3 linked regions of the Caenorhabditis elegans genome follow. The protein of the gene in region 2 interacts with the protein of the main gene of each other region in a pairwise test. Each region holds a gene or a part of one and is shown on either strand. Other genes may lie near its edges.

Region 1 (7,334 bases), 4.9 Mb from region 2:
GCCGAAATTAACTTTTAAAAATGCTATTTATTTCGCCAACTTCGGCATAAAATTCTTTTAAAAAAGAAGTTCATTGAAGCTGATTGAATTAACGGTTATACCGCCAAATACCCAACGATGGTTTGCGGGCGGAGCGTTTTCAATTGGCAGTAGGGCGCGTTATTTCAAAAGGGGCATTTTTCTGCGTCCCCATAATAAATTTCGCAGGTTTTAAATCATACGAGAAAAAAGATAAATGAAAAAGCACGGCTTAAGTACAATTCAAATTTTTCGCGGCGAGACCCTTACGAGCATGTCCCCGCGCCTTTAAGTCCGCGTTACAGAGAATTGCGCAATAACGTTACTGTGAGCTTTATTGCTCGAATAAAATCTGAAAACTCAATTCTCTCAGTACTCACAGTTCTTTCCTCAAATCAGCACTATTTATCGTAGTATTGCTGGCAGTCGTCGTCGAAACGAGTGTCTTGTTCATTTTGCCGATGATAATTGAACGTTTTGACAAAATAAAGAAACTTCTTATTGAGAACTGATTATTTCCACGATCTGTGGAACTAGTGGGAGATTCTTTTTTAAAGGGTTCACGCGTTTTTTAAACACTCATTGAAATTATTTCTAAATAAAATTGAATTGATGATAAGCGGATACAGAAGAGAACAAATTAAACTATTTAGAATTCACAAATAGTATTGGAAATATAAAAGCTGTAGTCGGAATGAACATGAGATACGATCACGAGAATAGAAAAAGGGTACAATCCCACTGGTGATAATGATAATGATGACAGGAATTGGGAGGGGGGAGTTACAGAAGAAAAAACATAAATAAAATATTTAAGATTGACTTGAAAAAGAATAATTAATAAGACCAGTTTACTGACGATTTCTCTTTGCAGCAGGCTCGTCTTGGGTAGGCGACACGGCGCGGCGTTGGGCGTCTGTGCCTGAAAACATGAAATATTTAAAAGTTTAAAATGAATCTATTACTAACCTCCTTCCACCACAGGATTCTGCTCCACATCTTCTACAGGTGGTTGAGCACCGCCGCGAGCTCTTCTGTCTTGCGCCTTCTGAATCCATTCAAGCTCTAAAGCTCTCAAGTCACGAAGATATGGTTGAACTTGCAATGGCTGCAAGTTTTTGAAGTTTGGAGCATCTGGATTGGCGTCTGGATTGAGTAGTGCAGGCATCTCAATGTTTTTCGGTGCACGCTGTCCATTTGCATTCGCTTCGGCTTCTGCCTCGTTGCGAACCATTCCCATGATTCGATTGACAAGTTCTGCTATCTCAGCTCTATCTGCAACTTCTTGCTCGATTCCTTGAATTGGTGGGAGCGGATTGAGAGGTTCTTGGACAACTACATCATGCCATGGAGCATCCTGAGCTGGATCGTCTCTTGCTCGAAGATTTCCTTCAAGTTCTTGAAGCCTGGCACCCAACTGATTCAATCTTTGTTGTGCATTATCCAAATCACGTCTCATATCAATTTGATCCAATTCAAAAGGATTTCTTGCGTACGGACCTTCGAGATTCCAAATATAATCTCGTAAACCGTCAATAGCCTGTTGAATCGCATCGTTCCTGTGCAATCCCGGATTCTGAGCAATGGCACGGAAAATGTGGTGACGAACCATTCGAAGATCTCGAACATTGTTTCCATTACGATTGGCACGGCGAGGAGCAGCCAACTGCGCTCGAGCAGCAATTCGATGTCTTCGATACATACGATCAGCAATATTCAGTGGAGCCCCAGCAGCACCAGCTAAACGAAGATCCGCAGCAGGCCCAAGAAAATCACCAGCACCATCTACAGCATCATCACCACCACCAGCAGCGGGAGCATCGCCAGCTGGAGCAGCAGCAGCAATCTGAACATCAATAGCAATATCATCGTCCGGAAGATCTCCAAAGATTCGTCGAAAATGAGCCGCTAGGCCCTGATCGTTTGGTGCTAAGAATTCGTCGATTTCATTCGCCAAATGTCGAACTCCTCCAGGAGCATTTGCATCCCGTCCAACAATTGGCACCACAAAACCACCAACTGCTCCAAGTCTTCGGAATCTCTCACGATTGAGAGCTGGGCCAGGTCTTGGTCGTGCCGGAGGAACTGGTACAGGGGCGGGTGCTTGCTTCACTTCTTGTTTGGAACCATCCGTCTCTTGTGGAAAAGCACTTGGACGGAGAACATCACGACCGAACGAGCGATGGTAGCGAGCCTGAAAGATAATTATTACTATTGTTGAAATTAAATGACCGATCCCTGAATTTGCGAAAAACAGCGTCGCACAGAAAGAGAGGTGGGGCTTTTTTCGCAACACTGCGGCCGGTTTTTTCTCTTTTTTTTTCAATAAAATTTCGATTAAACTTGTTTTATTTTCTTTCTTCGAATGCAAAAATATTCCAAATTAATTCTCATAAGATTGTGAGGATATTCCATGTTTTCACAACCAATTTGGTATGAAATATCTTCACAATAATATTTTCATAACAAAAATTATTTTAAACAAAAATCAGTGTAAGGGAGAAAAACCGTGCCGCAGGGTTGCAAAATTACACCCCGCCTTTCTTTCTATGCGACGCTGATTTTTGCAACAGTATAATAAGCAGGGCTTTCGCTTTATGGTTTTTTGGCAAAAAAATAAATTCCAAAAATGTTATGTTTCAGTTGGTATGATGAAAAATTCGACAATTTTTTGTTGGTTTTTGGTCTAAATTTTTATTGCAATATCCCTGATAATAAGATGATTTGATAAGGATACCTTTGAGGAATTTTCAAATTTATCCAAATCGCTGCTCAACGTCTTGAACAACTCTCCAGATGATTTCATAGAACTCATAAATCTATTCAAGCTTTCGTAGAAATCCGGGTGATCTGCTTCCTTTCTAATATTCACCAATGCATTTGCCATTCTCTGAAAAAATAAATTATTTCGTTTGGAGAATTAATATCAAAACTAACTCGTCGATGATCAATTGCTTCAGCTTTCGTCTTGTCAAACGCTAAAAGCGCCTCATCAACAGCTTTTAGCTTCTTTTTGAGCAATGATTCAGCTAGAAGAATCTTCTTATTCGCTTCATATTGAGCAGCCACATTGCTAAATGAGACGAAGATGTGGGTAGAGTGATTCGTTTCGATACACGAACGACAAATGAGGGTTTCCTTCGGACGTTTCTGGAAATAATGGAATAGAGAAAATTTAGGGGTTTTTCGATTTTCCGATATTTCGAAAAATATCTTAGAATTTGGGTGATTTTTCTTGTTTTTTAGAAAAACAGTTATATGCCTTTTTATGTTTTTTCAGCAACATAAGTAAACACAATTTGATCAAAAAAGTTGAATTTTAAGGGTCATTTCCTGAAGGTTTTATTATTATTTTTTTCAAATTTTTCGATTTTCTCTGAAAAAAAAAGGAAAAACACTTTTGGTCCCAGATTTTTTTTAAATTGAAAATTAGTGTCAAAATGTAGAAAATCACTTGATTTATCTGAAAATAATATTTATTTCTGCTGAAGCATTGGAGGAAGTGCTCAAGAATGACCTGAACGTATATATTTTTTGCGTTTTCTAGATATACGCCATTTGTGGCATTTTTCCGCGAAAAAATTTGAATTAATGTTCAATTTTCGATTTTTTTTTTGGCTATTTATTTCCGGATATCAAGTTTTTTACCAAAAAATATCTCAAAAATTACAAATTATTTTTTTAATGGAAAAAAAAACCAAAGGCCATTTTCTGAGGAATTCAAAAATAATTCAGCCATTCAGAATTTTTTTTTGCAAAATTTTTTCTAAAAACCATAAAAATTCAGAAAATTTCTATGTTTTTCTATAATTTAAACGTTTTTAACATCATAAGCCTCCGTTAAATATAAACTTACAATTTTGTCTACATTCTTCAATTCTTCCTCGGAAATCTCTTTCTGGCACGTTTCGTCTGAGCATGTTGTAGCTCTGAAATTTTTCATATAAATTAAAAACCGATTTTTTTCAAAGAATCTTACTCAATAGCGCTCACTGTCGTGTGACACTCGGTACATTTCACAGCTTCCGGCTCTTTTGTTGATTTCTCCTGCTGTCTTTGCTCTAACAATGCTGAAAAAAAATCGATTTTTTGTTTTTTTTAAGGGATTTGGCTTCAAAAAATTTCAAAATAGTCTCAAATTCCAACTTTTTTCGTTTTTCAGAACTACTTTCGATTTTTGAAGCCAAATTTTAAAATAAAATCTCACATTGAATGCAGAAATTAGTTGGAATCTTATCGGCCGGGGTGGTTAAGCTGTAGCGAGTATTTTGTCGGCACGATGGACAGATGACTGTGTTTCCGCCGAGAAAAGTTCTGGTGTTGAGAAGTTTTTTGATACATTGGAGACAAATCGTGTGACCGCATGGAAACACTTTTGGAATACGCTTGCCGGTGTCTGAAAATTTACATTTTAGCGGGATTAAAGGGATTTTAATTTAATAAAATTTAAAAATCGACTTAAAATTAGAAAAACCATAAAACAAAATTTACGATTTTTTCAATTTTGACCAAATTTGCTCCAAATTGAGGCAAAATTGAATTTTTCATTCTTCTGCGATTTCTACCGTTTTTTTTCTGGTTTTTCTGAAGTCAAGGCTAATTTTAAATGTTTTTCAACAAATAACTACTAACTAAACGGGTCATAACAGATTCCGCACGACAATCCTTTCATTTCGGTGCCCTTCGACGTTAAAATTGTATCGTCCGCCTCATCCTCCTTTTCTTTTTCATTTTCTGCCTTCGGAACGTCAGGCGTGGCAACTGCTTCCGGCTGAGGTTGATTATCTTCCCGGTCTAAAACATTTTCAGCTCCAGCTGCTGGCTCATCGTTATTTGCATCATCTACTGGATCATCGACGTTGATAGCTGCATCTATTCCTCCAAACGGATGAGCAAAATCGTCCATCTGGGCCATATCTCGGAACTCTTCCACTGCAATAAAAAATATTATTTATTGATTAAAATAAAGGACGAGTGGGAGGCAATTCTACAAAATTACCTATTGCACTATTATTATTTTAACATTTTTCATTAAAAATAGCGTTAAAATAGAAAATCACTTGATGTAATTGAAAATAACACCTGAACATTCGAAAACGTGTGGAAAAATGAAGCTCAAGTTTTATAATTCGATAATCGACAATTGACACCTTTCAGGCCATTTTTAAGCACTTTCTCAAATGCTTCAGCTGAAATAAAGGTTATTTTCAGATAAATTGAGAGATTTTCCATATTTTGACACTTATTTTAAGTGAAAAATGTTGCAACAACGTGGCGCAACAGGTATTGATCGCTGGAAACTGAATTTCAAAATTTTTCGTATTCAGTAACTTACTGTCGTCTTGCAATTGTCTTTGCAGGTCACGGAGTCGAACATTCAAACCATCAATGTCGAACGGATCCATTTGAGAAATTAAAACGGTGTATTTTTGAAGGAAATAACTCTGAAAAACTTGAAAGAAATGTAATTTCAAAAGAAAATCAGTAGGACATTAAAGGGAGCGGACACGCTTGTGCGAAATGGTTTCGCAGCGGAGTAAAAGTTTGTGGTCGTTTTTCGTCATGTACCTTTAAAATCACAGTACTAATGCCGACTCATTTTTATAAACATCGAAAAAAGGCAAATTTACCTAGAATTCTGATACAGTAGTGAATACAAATATAACGGAGTCACGACAGAATACGTGAGAAACCAGAAAATAAATTTAAAAAAAGGTAAATGAATGCATTTATAAAATTGGGTTCTCAAAGACTATCCGATTCGAATATTCGAGCAATAAATAAAAGAGCACGAAAACGAAACGAAACGAGAAAAAAACATTTGGGGAATGGAACAGTAATAAATAAAAATAGAAAAATGATACGGAAGAGAACACGTGGAATCAAAAAAACATTCAAATTAATCAGGATAAAAGAAAGAGCTGAGGGGGGACGGGGAGGAGGTGGGAGAGACCAAGAATGTGTGGAGGAGAAAAGAAACTTAATATAAAATGTGAAATATTTTCATGCAGATCATTTTGTATGAGGTTAAAACTTCTAATTTTGAGAACTAATAGCGGATGAGAATTATGAAAAGCCCGAATATTTATTTTCTAGTCATCTCTTCGAGAAGGTTATTCTATTTTCTCGTACGGCGACGCTTTGGAAGTGGCTCCGGCTCGATAACTTGGACTTCATCTTCGGCTGAAGTGCCTGGACAACTGTCGGTAAACTCTTTGAGACGTTTTGCAGATGGTTTTGTCATACATCCTTCGAACACTGAAATATTGATTTTTTCAAATTGAAAATATAGATTTAAAGGGGGATTTTTCGATTTTTTTTTTGGGAAAATAAAATTAGATGTTTTTAAAGAAAAATAATATTTTCAGAAGCCCTTCGAAGGATTACATTTTTTAATTTTTTTTTCGAATAAAATGTTTCGGCATTTTTTTAAATATTAACCCGAAAATGGCTAATTTTATAGCAAAAGTTTTCAACTAAAAATCTCAAACATTTTAATAGCGGATAAAAATTTCGAAAAAGGGTTAATTTCAGCTAAAATGAAAGCTGATTGGTCAATTTTTCCGTTCTTTTTGCATATTTTTTTCGCTTTTTGTGGCGAATTTTTGGAAAATAGCTTTGAAAAATTTAGAAAAAAATTCGACTTTTTTAAAAATTTGATTTAAAAATTTTAATTGTTTTTTAACTTCTAAACAATTTTTTTTTTGATTTTTCAAAAAAAAAGGAAGAAAAAAAATGTGATTTTCTTCTAAAAAGCTATTTTTCGAACAATCTAAAATCTGGAATTTTTTAATCGAAAATGTTTGTTTTTCGATATTCTACTATTTTTCGACGACACCGCCCTTGAGGCTCAGTCTTAAAAAACTATACCAACCTCCAAATCCATTCTTCGGAACTTCTTCTTTCTGCACCAGCTCCATCTTAAGTGATCCAGATTCCTCGCTTACTTTCAGCTCAAATGTCTTATGAAACTCCAGCTCTTCGAGTTTAACCGGTGGCTTTGTGCACTTGATAGCAGATTGACCAGCTGCCATGCTGTTAACCTTCGCAAACTTTTCAGTCCCGCCACGTGTGCGACCCTCATCATACACAACTTGTGGCATCAGAACTCCCGTCTCAATACTAATTCCATTTTCAGTAATAAACTTCATAACTTCTGCTGGTGATCCCGTCAGTCCAGCAACAACAATATGAGTATTTCCTTCGGAATCCTTACGAAGATACAATTCAGGTCCTTCAAGATCTTTTTTCGATGCAACATGAATCTCCATTCGGTTACTTCGAGCCATTTTGAGAGTGAGCACTTGATCTGGTTT
Region 2 (7,789 bases):
TAAATTTAAGAACATGGAACGTTTTTTTTTCTTGAAAAATTTCATGTATACCGTACCAAACCTTAATCCAATACAATAACTCACTAAACAATCGTCATCCCAGTAGCATTTTACCAGACAATTGTCCCAATTTTCTTGAATTTCTGAGTGATTATTGTATTCATCTGTTTCACCGTATACTACCATCATCTTCAAATTAGCAGTAATGAGCCGAGGAAGCACGAAGATTAATAGAAACAAAAACATTTTTAATGAATTTTCGGTTTGGAGGTGAATTGAAAAAAATGTTCGTAAAGTTTTCATCGAAAACGTTGCATAAGGTCTAAGATTCTGTATTTGTTATTATCGAGCTCGTAAAACATGAAAGTTTGTATGTAAATATATATTCCGTGCATAAAAAGTAGGATATATGGTAGCAAGTTTTGTGAACTGATCCAAAACCTAAATTTGAAAATAGTTTTATTGATCCATCCCTGGTGTGTATACTTTTCTTGTAGAAATACTTGACGAGAAAAAAGTAGTCTTCCGATTTATTTTAAACAATATAGTAACAATTTAACATGAAATTACACCATTGTGGTTTATAAACAGAAGTAAGTATTTGATGAGTAAAGGATGCTAATATAAAATATTTAAAGAAATATAGTACAACTCGTAATCAATGTTCACAAACAGGCATTTCACAGATATTGGGGAAATGAGGGGGAGATCGTGCAATAAAAAATGAAATTATTCTTTGACATAATTTCCGGGGAAAAGACCAACTCGATTGTTCACTTTTCCTTGCCACCATCCAGAAGCATCTGAAATCACAAATATTTAAAAAAATAGTATTCTTATAGTTATGACAAACCTTTGTTCATGAGTTCAATTTCAGCTCCAGCTTCAAAGCTGAGCTCATCAACATCTTGAGCTTCATATGGATAGACAGCAATAACGACAGGATTAAGCTTTGGCTTTGCTGGTGGAGGAGGTTTTGGTCCACGCGCTGGCGGAGGTCCTCGTCCAGCTGGAGAGTTTCCGTTTCCAGATAGATTCATGTTATTCAACTGATTTATGACGTTTCCCATCACTGGAATTCGCGCAGGTTCTTGGCTATATTGATGATTAGTCGATACTGGAGCTGGTGTCTGATTGTAATTGTTATTCATTCCATGAGCGGGAACCTGAAATTTGAAAATCTAAATTACAATGGAATTAATTTTGAAAATCTTACCGGAGCTCTCATTGCCTGAGATTGGCCATTTTGTCCATAACTTTGATTATTCTGTTTCGTTCGTCGTGTTGATGTTCTCAATTGATCTCTTCGCGGGGTGTACCCACCTTGTGGACGTTCAGTTGATGGCCCTGAAGATTCAAATTTTATTCGTAACTTCTATATTATTTAAAGAAGTTACACGCCACTACAGTTACAAAGGTGGAGTAGCGCCAGTTTGGAAATAGTTAAACATGGTTCCAAAATAACCAAATATCATAGGAAAACTTTTCAAAAGAAAAAATTGAAAGTCAAAAAGTGACAATAACCGAGTTTTTGCCACTTTTTGAGAAAACTATATCACTGTCGCATCCCTACAATGTTTGAATAGTAATGTTTAAAACATACGACCGTCAAATTAACAGGATAACATTTTTTGATCGACGACTTCCAACAAAGTGGAAAAACTGAGACTTTTTCAAATTTCAAAAAATCATGAAAATTAAAACATTTTTTGAACTTTTTACTATGATATTTGGTCATTGTGGTCAGGGCTTTTTTTGGTTTTTTTGTTGGTATTTTGAGTATTTTGGGGTATTTTGGGGTATTTTGGGATTTACAATTTTTTAAAGCAAAATGTGTTCCTTAATGGTTTTCAATGATTTTTTTCTAAAAAGTTCAAAATATACCAAAAGTCGACTTTTTTTTTGTTTTTTCACAAATTAAAATTTTTTTGGTCCCAGCCTTGATTGTGGTGCTATAGGCAAGTTTTAAAGCAATTTCCACATTGATCCATCTTTAATAAGTTTTTTGTTCTGATTAGTTACAATTAAGATAATTTTTTCAAACATTCTCGACTCACTTGTAGTATTCGGTAATCCAGTACCAATGCTAACATTCAAAACTTTTCCATTTGGTTTCAATGTCTTCTCTGCAGACGAAGTTCCATCGTTTCCAAACTGAACCGTTCGTTTTCCATCGGAGAAATCGAATTTCATCTTTTTGTAACTAACAACATGAGAACTACGGAAATCGAGATGAAGAGTACCGTTTGTTCGTTCTTTATATGCTTTTCTAAAATTGAAGAATACGTAACTTTGAATTAGTCAAATCAATATAATGCGCTTACGAGAGAGCTGTACAGAATTCAGTTTTGAATGGTGTTTCGAGAAGAGAAGAATAATCATCGTTTCCCAGATATAATATCACAAAATCGTCTTGATATGGAGATAGACCAATTGATTTGATTTGAGGTAGATCAAATTGTCTGAAATTTTAATTTTAAACTAATCTTAATAAAATGGAAAAATCATACCTTTTGATAACTTCAACGATCTTCCCCTTTTCGGGACCATTCTTCACTTTTTCTTTTCCAATAAGAGTCAAATGATTGACAGTCAAAAGTAAATCAAGTTTTGTCACCTAAACATAAACGATTGATGACTAATAATTAAACTCAAATTTACCGTACCCTAAACTTTCTATCATATTTGTTAGCAGTGCATGCAAACAGCACTCTCTGACGCTTGCCAACCAGGGACTGAAGTGTCGGATGATGCTCTAATCCAATGTAATCTCCGACAAAGTTTCGGTTTAATGAGTAGCGACGGCGTTCCTTTTTTCCATACATGAGGTCGGCAGCTTGCTCCTGAAATAAGAATTTATGTTTATTCAATTTTTTATTTTTGTTGGATTTTACCTTTTGCTTAATGTGCTGCTTTCTAGCCGAGAATTGTCTCCAGGCTTTTTGAATGACTCTTGCGTAACCATCAAACTTGCGTTCACGAGTCTCTTCCAATAAAAACAGCTGGAATGTATCTATTGCATTTCGATATTTTGATTTAGAAAAACATACCGATTCGGGATTCTTTACAAATATCTTAGTTTTTCCCATCTGATACTGATTCTTTTCCATATGAACTGAATCGCAGATTATCTCACAAGCTCTTTGCTGATCTCCTTGGAAACATGGCCACGTTTGAGGAGAGACGATGGCATATCGTTGGGCAAATTTGTCGAAAGCTCTTCGATATGCAAAACCAGCTCTTCTCACTCGAATATTCTCACGAAGACCCAAATATTCAACCTGATGCTTCACTCGACTCTCTTCCCAATCATTTGGTCGTTTTGTTTCATTTGGCTTGATACATCGTACGTAATGAGGTGAGCATTTCATCAGGGATTCCACAAGAGTATTAGCTTGAGTCTGCAATTAAAATTAAAAATGTTGACATTTTATTACTAAAACATACTCGAATCTTAGTTGAGAATGTTGTTGGTCGTTTTCCAGCTGACGCAGCTACATTTTCAGGGAATAAAGCTTGAATGAATGGGCTGAAAAAAAAAACCAAATGAAATAATAAAACAAAACACACATTTAGAAAATTAAAACCTTACCGTGAAGACTTTTGCATGAGTAGAATAAGATCTGGATAAAGAACATCTCTGTTTCTATCACAGAATCCATCTACATTATATGTAACATCTCCAGCATAATGTTTGATAACGAATGAATCTGAGCCAGGGCCGAAATGGGGATGTCCAGCAAATGATTTCGAAAGAGTCGTGAGCAATTGACGATCGACACCTTCTCGTTGTCCATGATTTTGAGCACATGTATCATCAAGAAGGCTCATTATTCCAGGTGGACGCTTCGTTTCAATCAGATCACACACGATTTTGTTATCGAAATAATCGATTTCTGTCCATTTGATTCCTTCACGAACATATTCTTCCTGTTCTGCTTTTAGCGTTAATTCGATGAAGATTTGTTGAAGTTTTTCATTGACAAAGTTGATACTGAAATTCGTATTAATTTCATCAATATTAAGGTTTTCCAAAAACAAAAATAGGAACAATTCGGTTTTTAGACAAACTGGGTCAATCATTTCAGTAGAATAACTTAAACTTACCAAAATTGTTCAAATCCATTATTGTTGAAAATTTCGAAACCGTAGATATCAAGAATTCCAACAGAAAAGTTGTCTGAAGTCGATTGTGAAGTGATATTCATTGCGTCATTCACTTTTTTTACTGTAATTTTTTATACATGGAAAGAAATTTTAAATGAATAAGCTAACCAAGATAATCGAATAATCTTGCGTAAATTGCTTTAACCCATGCGTCTCTGGTATAGCTCGCCTGCTCAACGTTAAGCTTCATATCGATTTCTTCCTTTTGTGTACCCCATCTGAAAATAAATTGAAATATTTGAAACTAATGTGAAACTGCTCACTTGCTCTCCATTTTACGACCAGTAAGCTTTGCCTCAATGTCTGCACTAGTGAGTCCCAGAAGGAAGGCAGGATATTCAAGATCTAAATAATTAAATGTAAAGTGATATATCTTAAAACAGTAACTCACAATCTTTTCCACTAACTGCAGCAAAATTATTCTCCTCGGTGAAAGTGATATTTCCGATATGGAGAACAGTTGCCACAATTCGCAAAACTTCTAATTGATCTTGATCATTAACACCGACAACTTTCATTGCGTGCTGGAAAATATAATATTTTATATAAAACGGGGAAAATAATTTCTGAGTTCTTGTTGTACAAAATCGATTTGTCTGATCATAAATCTTACCAGGGTGCTCTCAAATTCCTTCCCATCGTCCGTATCGTCTGCTTTGAAAACTCCACTCATATTTAAATAGTTGTAATATTGAAGTTCTCCAATTCCGAAAGTACTTCTCAAGTTCTTGTCTGCGCCAGCGCATAATTGATAAAAAACATGGAAGTTTCGATCTCCTTCATTTTGATGAACAACTCGAGACTTTTCCAAAAGAAAGTTGGAAAGCTGAAAAATTGTTTGTGAAAAATTAGCAAAAAAACTATTAAAAACCTACTTTTCCACCAATAGGTTCTCCACCTCGACTGAACACAATTTCTACGTATTTTCCAAATCTCGAACTGTTCCAGTTACGGACTGTTGCACTGTTTCCGAAAGCTTCGAGAAGTGGATTTGATTGCAAAATAACATCTTTGATGTGCTGAAAATTCATAGTTTCAAAATCATACCTCTAATCAGTAAATTTACCTGAACTTTCTGCCCTCCTCCCGAAATACGAGAAATATAATTCATAATGAACTTCGCGTTGACTGTTTTACCGGCACCGGATTCTCCAGATATAATAACACATTGGGACTCGTTATCAATGAGCATATTTCTGAATTTTCAACTTTTTTAAAAACATTTTTCATTACATTGAAAACTATCTTACCTGTACATGTTATCAGCCAATGCATAGATATGTGGCGCATTTTCATATTGAGCAGCTCCCTGATATAGAAGCATTTCTTTCTCCGTAAAATATGGCATTTGTTTGAAGGGATTTACCGATATCAGTACAGGACCAATATATGTCTGAAATATGAAACATTAATTATTGGTTAGGCTTTAAAATTAACTTTAGCGATTAAGTTTCTTGAACCAGCAAAAAAATATAACAATTGATAGAAAAGCTTCTAAACTTACAAAAATACTGTTAGCTTGAAGCCTCTTCTTTAAATTTTCAACGATACTTTGCTCTGTGAGTTTTGGCAGAAGGACCATGTCATCGACCCCGACATGCTGAACATTGACTTTTGATTGCCAGTGGAACGCCATAATGAACCACCGGCGTATTTACTGAAAAAAACAGACATAATTCCGAGAAATGGGGAATATGGGAAACAAAAAGTCTAAGAAACAGGAGAGGGGATTATAAATGTCGTTTTCGACCAACTTGTCGCTTTTTTATTACAGTTGAAGAGTAAAAGAGAGAGAGTAATCCGGTAATTTCGTTTATAATAGAAGGTAGTGAATTCATCGAGCGAAATGAAAAGATTGATGAGTAGGAATTATGAACTAGAGGAGATGAATGAAAGTTTCTCGATGAAAACCAAAATTTTAAGAACGGATTTAAGACAATTTAAAATTGAAAAATATTAAAATTTAGAGTGAAGTAAACAATTTTAAATAAAAGTCAAACGGGTAGAGAATTTGAGAAGCGACAGACCAATTGAGGTGAGACGATTGACTTTTTGGAACGAAAGGAGGATGAACAGAAGGAGGTGACCACTTTCCAATTGTGCCTGTCTTCATTTACATCCTTGCCACCTTGGAGTGTGACCTTCAGAAATCGCGGAGACATAGATGGACACCGTTAAGTTTCGTTTGAACATAAAAGCTGTGGATAGAGTGTTGAATAATTTAAAATTATTCTAACAGAATTCAAAGGTGTTTTTGAAAACAGTTTCTGTCTAATGAAACGCATTCTAGAATTTTTACTATTAGTATAAAGTCTAAAACAAAAGATGCATGAAGAACGAGAGACGTAGGCAGTCAACACAACACGATGACTCATAAGCAAGAGGAACATATTTTCAATTTCACGATGACCACATCTCTGATCTGTTTGATTTTAGATGTGTCAGAAATGTGTAGGAAACATGGAAGGAGTGTTTAATATATTTAGTGAGTTTCAGAAAAAATTGGAAGAGGCTTGAAGATACATATTAGAATATTTATTTATGAATTTTGATTTGAGCAAAACATTAGACGGATGAAAAATAGAAAAAAATCTTTGAATAAGTTATGAAATCCTGACAAACAGCTGCAAAAGACAACTAATTCAAATGAAACAAAATTAAAATTAATTTTAAGAGGACTTTCAAACTTGCGGAGAAGTTTATCTTATGGAAAAGTTATTTTTAGGAAATCTTTTACATTAAGCTATTAATCTAAATTTGGTTTATATAAATTCATATTTAAAAACAAATATAAACTTTCGTCATAATAAAATATGTTATTAATAAGCATTCAACAAAAAACTCCGCCTATAAATTCAGAAACCGTGCCCACGGAAGATAAATCGCAATGTGCAAGTGCGCCCTAACGAAAACAGCGCGAAACTTAAAAATTGAAAGCCAATTTTCTACAAAACTCACTAATTTCAATTTTATCAAAATTTTGATCAAAACTAGGCAAAGTGAGTCATTATCAAAGTTTTGTTTCATTATCAGAGAAAAATGAAAAAAATAAAATGTCGAATTTCACTCGAAAAGACCAAAAGCCATGACTTTTTGCATTCATCAGTGAAAACGTCTCGGGAGTGCCAAACGGCACAAGGAGATGAGAAACATGAGTATATGACGAACAAAAATGGAAAAAAGTGATGAAATATACAACAAATAAAAAGGAGAGAAAGAAAAGAAAAAGTGAATAGTAAGAGAGTGTTTGGATCGAGGAGGTTGCAGTGATGTAGATGGTGATTCATCGTTGAAGAAACGGACGAGTATGTGTTCTAGTATTTTTAAATTGAAACAAATTGGTGATAACTTTTTTTTTTAAAGTTAGGTATAAAATTAGATATCAAATATCATAAACAACTCTTTTTCAGAAGGGTGTTTTCGAACAGAAGAAAATTTCTATTTAATTCGGTGTAGTACTAGAACTTGAAAAATAATTCTACCAATTTTTAGTTGGAATATTTTCAACTACTGAGTTCCTAATTTGATGAGCTCCGACTCATAAATTATTCTAATTATTCCGGAAATTTTAAAACAAAAAAGCGACGAACTGTCCGGTTCTGACATGTCCTTCTCTTTTCTT
Region 3 (6,293 bases), on a different chromosome or scaffold from region 2:
ATCGATTTTTCCTAGTTTTTTATTTAAAACTTATTTATTTATTATTAAACACTAAAATAGAATAAGTAAATTTTAGCAAATCGTAAGAAAAACTGTTGGAAAACAATTAAAATTTCACAGTACCGAAGTTTTGAGAATACAGTAACCTTTAAAGGCGCCCACCCGCATGTATTTTACAAACAATTGTCGTGACGAGACCTGGTGCTGTATTTTTTGCACAAAAATTGAAAAACTTCACGTCTTGGTGATGAAAAATATTAATAAAAGTGGATTTCAGTGTTCCAATTCCATTGCTGCCTTACCACGAACACTTTGCCACGTCTGCAGAATCTTCGTCACATCATCAGAAGCTGAAAGCGTTGGCGCGTGAACACAAAATCCTCAAATGGGCCAAGGAAATCGGTGGCATCGCTAAAAAACGGAGAAGGCGAAGTGGATGGAGTGGATGAAGATGTTCTTGTTTTCTCTAATTGATCAACAACAACAATACGGGACACTTCTGTTTGAATTTTGAGATTTATCGGAAACATAAATATTTGAAGATCGTTTTTCGAACCAACATCATCAGTATTATGCATTGTTTGATGGGGAAGAGAAAGGGGATAGAGAAAAAGAGGAAAACGGGCGGGATTATAGAGATACTTTAGAAAGTGGGGGAGAAGGGAGATAGTATAAGAAAGAAAGAACGGTGACACAATTTTAAAAAATCAGGATTTTCTGCCAAAAATTTCAATTTTCAACAAAATCATGACAGAAAAGGGATGACGAATTGAATTCGAACAGACCAAAGGATGGAACTCGAGTTACGGAATCCTTGTAGGATTGGGGGAATTCTTTAGCAAAAAAAACAACAAAAAAGAAAAGAAAAACAACAAAACGTTTCAACAACAAATCGGGATAGACATGAGGGGGTTTCTTTTAAAGCTTTCGCAGTTGGAATTCGGTGGGATGGTGGTATTAGCATGGGATGGAATGAATAGAGATCGAAGTGAATTTTGTTTGGGCGAGCGGGATATTTGAAAGATTCTTGAAAATCGGAGGAAGTTTTTGTTGTCGTTGGACATCGGTGCCAATCAAAATCCAACGATTTTACTTACGTTTATTCTGGAAACTTGATGGGAATTAGTTTTTTTTTTCAATTTATTAAAATACAAACCTGATAGTTTCCACGTTGTCCTCCTCCTGATCCTCCACCATGTCCACGTGAGTAACCTCCACGACCACCACCACGTCCACTGCCTCCACTTCCTCCAGACGATCGTCCACGATAGCTACCAGTAGAATTTCCGCCATAACTATGGCTATAGTTCTGACCGTATCCTCTACCGCCACTGCGATTTTCTGAATTGTGACGAGATTTATGTGACTGATTGTCTTGTTCGACTATTTGATCGGGAACATCCGGTACAGTATCATCCTGATCATCACTTATTTCCTGCGGATCGATCGGCTTCTGCGAAGACTCTCGAGATTTTGCCACACGTTCTTCTTCTTTCTTTTTTGGACAAATTAGAGGGTGATGACCTTGTTCTCCAGTCGCCTCACAATGCCCGCATTTGATCTTTTTCATATGCTCACACCACAAATCACCATTATCCTTGCGAATACTGAAATTAAATTTTTAATTTTTATAAATTAGAATTTTTAATCTTACTTATGGGAAGACACTTCTTCAGCAGGCAACTGGTAATGTTCACATCGATAACAGTGTAGTTCAGATTTCGAAGTAACATCATCTTTAGACTGAATATCATCCGTTTTCGGATTTTCCTCGCTTATTTCAGTTTTTGTCGCTTCGATAGATGCTTCTTGATCAACTTTAAAATCTTTCTTTGGGGTCTTCTTCCGATGTTTAGGAGTGCTTGACCGACTTGGTGATTCAGAATTTTCAGTCGAAGTTTGATCATCTTTCGATTCGACTAACTGAAGGATCTGTTTACTTGGTGATCCTGCACGTGAGCTAACTGGTTGAAGATGTTCAATTCTATTGGTAAGCTGTGTAACTGATTCATCCACTTGTTGACTGTCGGATTGATATTGACTTGATGAATCAAAATTTCCTCGATTTTGTGGATAACTTTGAGAAGAATTGTAGCTTTGATTAGAATTTTGACGAGAATGTTGGTATCCGTGACCTCGTGAACCACCTCTTCCTCTTCCTGATCCAGCATTTCCACCTCTTCCAGAATTGAAGTAGCCCATCGGCTGTTGCTGTTGCATTCCAAAACCTCCACGTATTGGTCCTCCCATTTGATTAATTTGTCCACTCATTTGATACGGCGGGCCTCCCATGAGCGGCTCAACACCTCCTGGACGTCTACCTTGCTGTTGCATTTGTTGCATTTGATGGTGAGGCGGCGGAACCATTTGCATATATTGTTGCGGTAGATATTGTCCTGGATGCTGTTGTTGGGTCATTTGTGCATTCATATGAGGATGATTTTGCTGATGGGGATGATTCATCATAGAAGCAGCAGCATGAGGTGGTGGTGGGCCTCCTTGTGGCATTCCGTATGGTTGCATTTGCTGAAACATCTGAGGAATTGTTGTTTGTTCTTTTTAAAAAAAGTGTAACTCTGTGAAATTGTCAAAATATAATATAAAATCTTCCCCTAATTTTTTTAAAGTTGTACCTGCATCTGATGTTGCATTTGGACGGCTTGTTGTTGATCCATTTGTTGATGTTGTTGCTGAGGCTGCGTGAAGTTTCCTGGTGGAGCGTAACCGACAGGCATCTGATTCCAGAGTGGGTTCGATACAAAATCCTGTTGATGGTAGCCTTGTTGAGGTTGTTGTTCATTCTGATGTTGATGTTGCTGACCATCGTCCTCATTTTGACTGTTTCGTTTACTTTTGCGAGCATTTCCTCCGTCTTTTTCCAAACTGCTAGCTCCACCAGCTGGCTCTTGCCGGAACACTCGTGGTGCTGGCACAGGAACATACACCATTGGATACAGCATTGGATGTTGTTGCTGCTGCTGTTGATTCTGTGGATTGTGAGGCATCATTTGAATAATTTGGCCTTGCGGGCCTTGTGGACCCCTATACTGTCCATAAGATTGAGCATTGTGTGGCGGTGGTGGCCGTTGCTGGATTACTGGTCCAGCATAATATTGAGCTTGTCCACTATGTCCCTGCTGTTGATAGGTATTTCCTGGAGGAGGTCCTTGTCCACGGTACTGATCAATTTCATAGTTGCCACTGTTCATCATTTGCTGCTGATTTTGTGGTGGTGGCCCTGCTTGAGGATCTAAAATTATGCTTTTGAACAGAACACAGTAAGTTTGCACCAACTATATTGTGGCCGACCATCGAAATTATCGTTGGGGCCATGAATGACAAAATTATTGTTTCCACCGTTGTTGTCATCCGCGTATCCACTTGGCGGACCACCGCTTTCCATTTGTTGATACTGCTGAAAATAAAGAATTTGCAAAATGTCTATCAACTCTTCTCATTATTTTCCTGTAGATATAATTTCCAAATCATAACGCTCATTAAAAAATTATTATGAGCTAGAAATAATTGAGGAGCCCGTAATTCTCCATACCCGATAGCCTCCTGGTGGTCCTCTTTGGTATTGTCCACCATCGGATCCACCTCCAAACTGCTGCTGTTGATCATATCCTTCTTGTGGTGGTGGTTGTTGTTGCTGATAGCCGGGCGCGCCGACGGTTCCTCCGTAATATGTCATACCATTTGGTGGTCCAGTATGTGGCGGCTGTGGGCGCATTTGAGAGAATTGCTGTTGACCGCTGTTCCGATGATAAGCTGCTCGATGCTGAAAATGAATGAGATAAATTACATGTTTGATATTTCACTGATTTGAAAAATCTCTCAATTCTCTTAAAACCTTGCGCACCTCAAAAGTGTTCTTTTTCTGACTTATCTTTTTTCGATAGGATTTTCAATAGTTTCCTACTTACAAATCCTGGCGGAGCACGTGTCTGTTGAGGTGTGCCCTTTTGGTCGTCAGTCCCTAGCCCAGAATCTGGTGTTGTCCTAGTGGTGTTTCCTGGCGGCTCTGAATACTCAAACGAAATTGCTGACGACACGTTGGCAGTCGAGTTCGGCACCGAATCAGTCGTTGAGGTATGATGGGGGTTGTTGTTGTTTTGGTTTGAGTTTGCAGCGCTGCCGCCGTTTTTCTTGTTGTTATTATTATAGACGGTTGGGGCACGTTGTTGTTGCTGCTGTGAATGTTGCTGGAACTGCTGTCCAGACATTACCAAGTGAACGTTGACTGTAAATGTTGACTATCGAAGTGTTTTAAAATATGCAATATGTTTAGAAAAAGAGAATCAGCAAAATTTTATCGGAATCTATGTTTTCAAAAATAAGGAGCTCAATTGGCAAAGAGTATCAAAGAAAATGAGAAATTGAAAAAGGAACATGTGATTTTGGTAAAACTAGTTTTTAGTTCTCAGTTGAGTGGAAATAACAGAAAAAAACATACTCGGAACACTTTGTGTGTAGAAATGTAATAATTGCATATTTTTCCAGAGTTTATATTGCAAAATGATAATGTTACTAGTTTAAGATAACTCTTATTTGAAGGCGGCAAGGTAATAAGAGAACAAAAAGGTTAGAAATCTATAAAAAGCGTCGGCGAACGCTAATAAATTCATCGATAAAATGCCGAAATGGGTGGGCACTTAAAGGCGCGTAGAATTAAACGGGAAGTGGGTCTCGCAGCGAATAAGTACGGTGACACTTGTTTCGGCATTAGTGTCGATTTACGGAGTCGTTTTTTTAGATCATTTGATAGATTTTAAGTAAATTTCACCTATTTTCTATTCTTTTCATCAACCTTTACAGTTTAAATTATGTTATTCTTATTTTTAACTCTTGATCCCTCAAATAACTGCGTTACTAAAACATTTTAAGGTGAAATGACTGAACCTATCAAGGAAATTGCCGCGAAAAGAAGTGTCGAAGCAGTTTACACCGGAGGAACTGTCAGATGGAGTGCAAATGGTCAGAAACTTTTTTCTACATGCACAAATGTTGTGAAAGTGATTGATCTGGCTGACAATACTGCAAGGTATGTGATGTTGCGACAGAACTTTAAAACAAGTTTCACCCACAAAACTAGAAGTAGATTGATTATGATTATTTGAAAAATTGAATATGAATAATTTTGAAGTTTAATAAAATAAATTAAATTTGAAATGCATCAAATCTTTTGCAGCTATACCATCGGCGACCCTGAAGATGAGCTACGCATTACGTGCACAGCTGTCGACAAGAACAGAAATCGCCTTTTGGTCGCCTATAACAATCAAATAATTCGTGAATACTCAATTCCTTTGGATCCGTCGACAACTAAACCAGAGTTGGCCAGAACATGGAAAACCATACACACTGCTCCTATTCTCGTTATGGAATTCAATGAGGAGGGCCATTTACTGGCGACTGGAAGTGCCGATCACATCGTGAAAGTCTGGAATCTGACAGAGCAACAATGTACACACACATTAAAAGGACCCTCGGTAGTTTCAGCAATTCTGTTCGGAAAACATGAAAAGCTTGTCGTTGGATACATTGAAGGACAATTGAACCTCTATAATATAATGAGAGGTGCTCCGAAAAAACTTGTAAACACATGGAAAAGTCATAATTCTCATATTACCGCACTGCTTCAAGTTCCGGATTCACGAGTTGTTGTGGCTCTTTCGCGAGATCAGACGATGAGTATTCATGAAACAGAAACTCAAGAAACACTCCGAGTTCTTCCACTCTACGAATCAATTGAAGGCGGAGCAATCGGACATAACGGAAATCTTTTCACTGTTGGAGAAGAGGGTGTTGTTAAGGAATTTGTGATTGAAACTGCGAAGTTGGTCAGAAAGAAAAGGATTGCCAGCTCGAATCTCGATCACTTGGCCTACGATGTTGTTTCTAATCGCTTTTTGGCAATTTCCGCCGAACAAAATCTTATAATTTTGGATTTTGAAAATCTGAAAATTGCAAGACAAATTGTTGGATTCCATGACGAAGTGAGTTTTATAGTTGACCTTGAAAGAAAAACAATGATTGCAAATTGGAATTGAAAACCATTTGTTGATATCATTTTTGTCATATCAAGTTGCTTTAATGTATAATTTTTCGAATGTAAATCTTTTATACAAAATTCGTAAAAAAACACCGAAAAACGAAAATATTTGATTTTATCATTTTTTTAATAATTTTTTCTTTGAATATTACCACTTTTAATATGCTCTCAAATTGCCAAGTAATATTTCTACGAATAGTAATAATTGGATTTAAGAACCTTCTTAATTATTATTCCC

Evidence for each region. The genes of interacting proteins can lie anywhere in the genome.
Region 1: the proteins of hum-1 (region 2) and T20F5.6 interact in a two-hybrid assay, tested with the Caenorhabditis elegans proteins (one large-scale study listed by BioGRID).
Region 3: the proteins of hum-1 (region 2) and nos-3 interact in a two-hybrid assay, tested with the Caenorhabditis elegans proteins (one large-scale study listed by BioGRID).

Annotation. Positions count from the first base shown.
Region 1 is NC_003279.8:3,919,701-3,927,034, forward strand, and holds T20F5.6 (RING-type domain-containing protein), read right to left. Parts: upstream 5,463-7,334; 5' UTR 5,424-5,462; coding exon 5,354-5,423; intron 4,951-5,353; coding exon 4,651-4,950; intron 4,415-4,650; coding exon 4,226-4,414; intron 4,089-4,225; coding exon 3,998-4,088; intron 3,948-3,997; coding exon 3,875-3,947; intron 3,169-3,874; coding exon 2,956-3,168; intron 2,909-2,955; coding exon 2,756-2,908; intron 2,213-2,755; coding exon 988-2,212; intron 941-987; coding exon 870-940; 3' UTR 506-869; downstream 1-505. Other genes in the region: T20F5.5 (Flocculation protein FLO11-like), read right to left, coding at 399-472; T20F5.7 (RING-type domain-containing protein), read right to left, coding at 6,137-6,276, 6,893-7,334.
Region 2 is NC_003279.8:8,845,293-8,853,081, forward strand, and holds hum-1 (Unconventional myosin-Ie), read right to left. Parts: upstream 5,825-7,789; 5' UTR 5,804-5,824; coding exon 5,672-5,803; intron 5,561-5,671; coding exon 5,418-5,560; intron 5,364-5,417; coding exon 5,234-5,363; intron 5,187-5,233; coding exon 5,043-5,186; intron 4,994-5,042; coding exon 4,781-4,993; intron 4,692-4,780; coding exon 4,559-4,691; intron 4,513-4,558; coding exon 4,431-4,512; intron 4,386-4,430; coding exon 4,276-4,385; intron 4,229-4,275; coding exon 4,108-4,228; intron 3,995-4,107; coding exon 3,593-3,994; intron 3,530-3,592; coding exon 3,448-3,529; intron 3,402-3,447; coding exon 3,051-3,401; intron 3,003-3,050; coding exon 2,895-3,002; intron 2,844-2,894; coding exon 2,667-2,843; intron 2,618-2,666; coding exon 2,511-2,617; intron 2,463-2,510; coding exon 2,325-2,462; intron 2,270-2,324; coding exon 2,058-2,269; intron 1,348-2,057; coding exon 1,217-1,347; intron 1,167-1,216; coding exon 854-1,166; intron 804-853; and 3 more. Other genes in the region: F29D10.3 (PAN-3 domain-containing protein), read right to left, coding at 85-189.
Region 3 is NC_003280.10:9,744,667-9,750,959, reverse strand, and holds nos-3 (Nanos-type domain-containing protein), read right to left. Parts: upstream 4,645-6,293; 5' UTR 4,494-4,644; coding exon 4,457-4,493; intron 4,259-4,456; exon of another isoform or gene 4,244-4,258; coding exon 3,927-4,243; intron 3,782-3,926; coding exon 3,551-3,781; intron 3,416-3,550; coding exon 3,295-3,415; intron 3,251-3,294; coding exon 2,634-3,250; intron 2,536-2,633; coding exon 1,655-2,535; intron 1,608-1,654; coding exon 1,157-1,607; intron 1,112-1,156; coding exon 1,100-1,111; coding exon of another isoform or gene 1,090-1,099; 3' UTR 506-1,089; downstream 1-505. Other genes in the region: Y53C12B.7 (uncharacterized protein), read left to right, coding at 278-449; Y53C12B.1 (U3 small nucleolar RNA-associated protein 13 C-terminal domain-containing protein), read left to right, coding at 4,893-5,044, 5,192-5,999.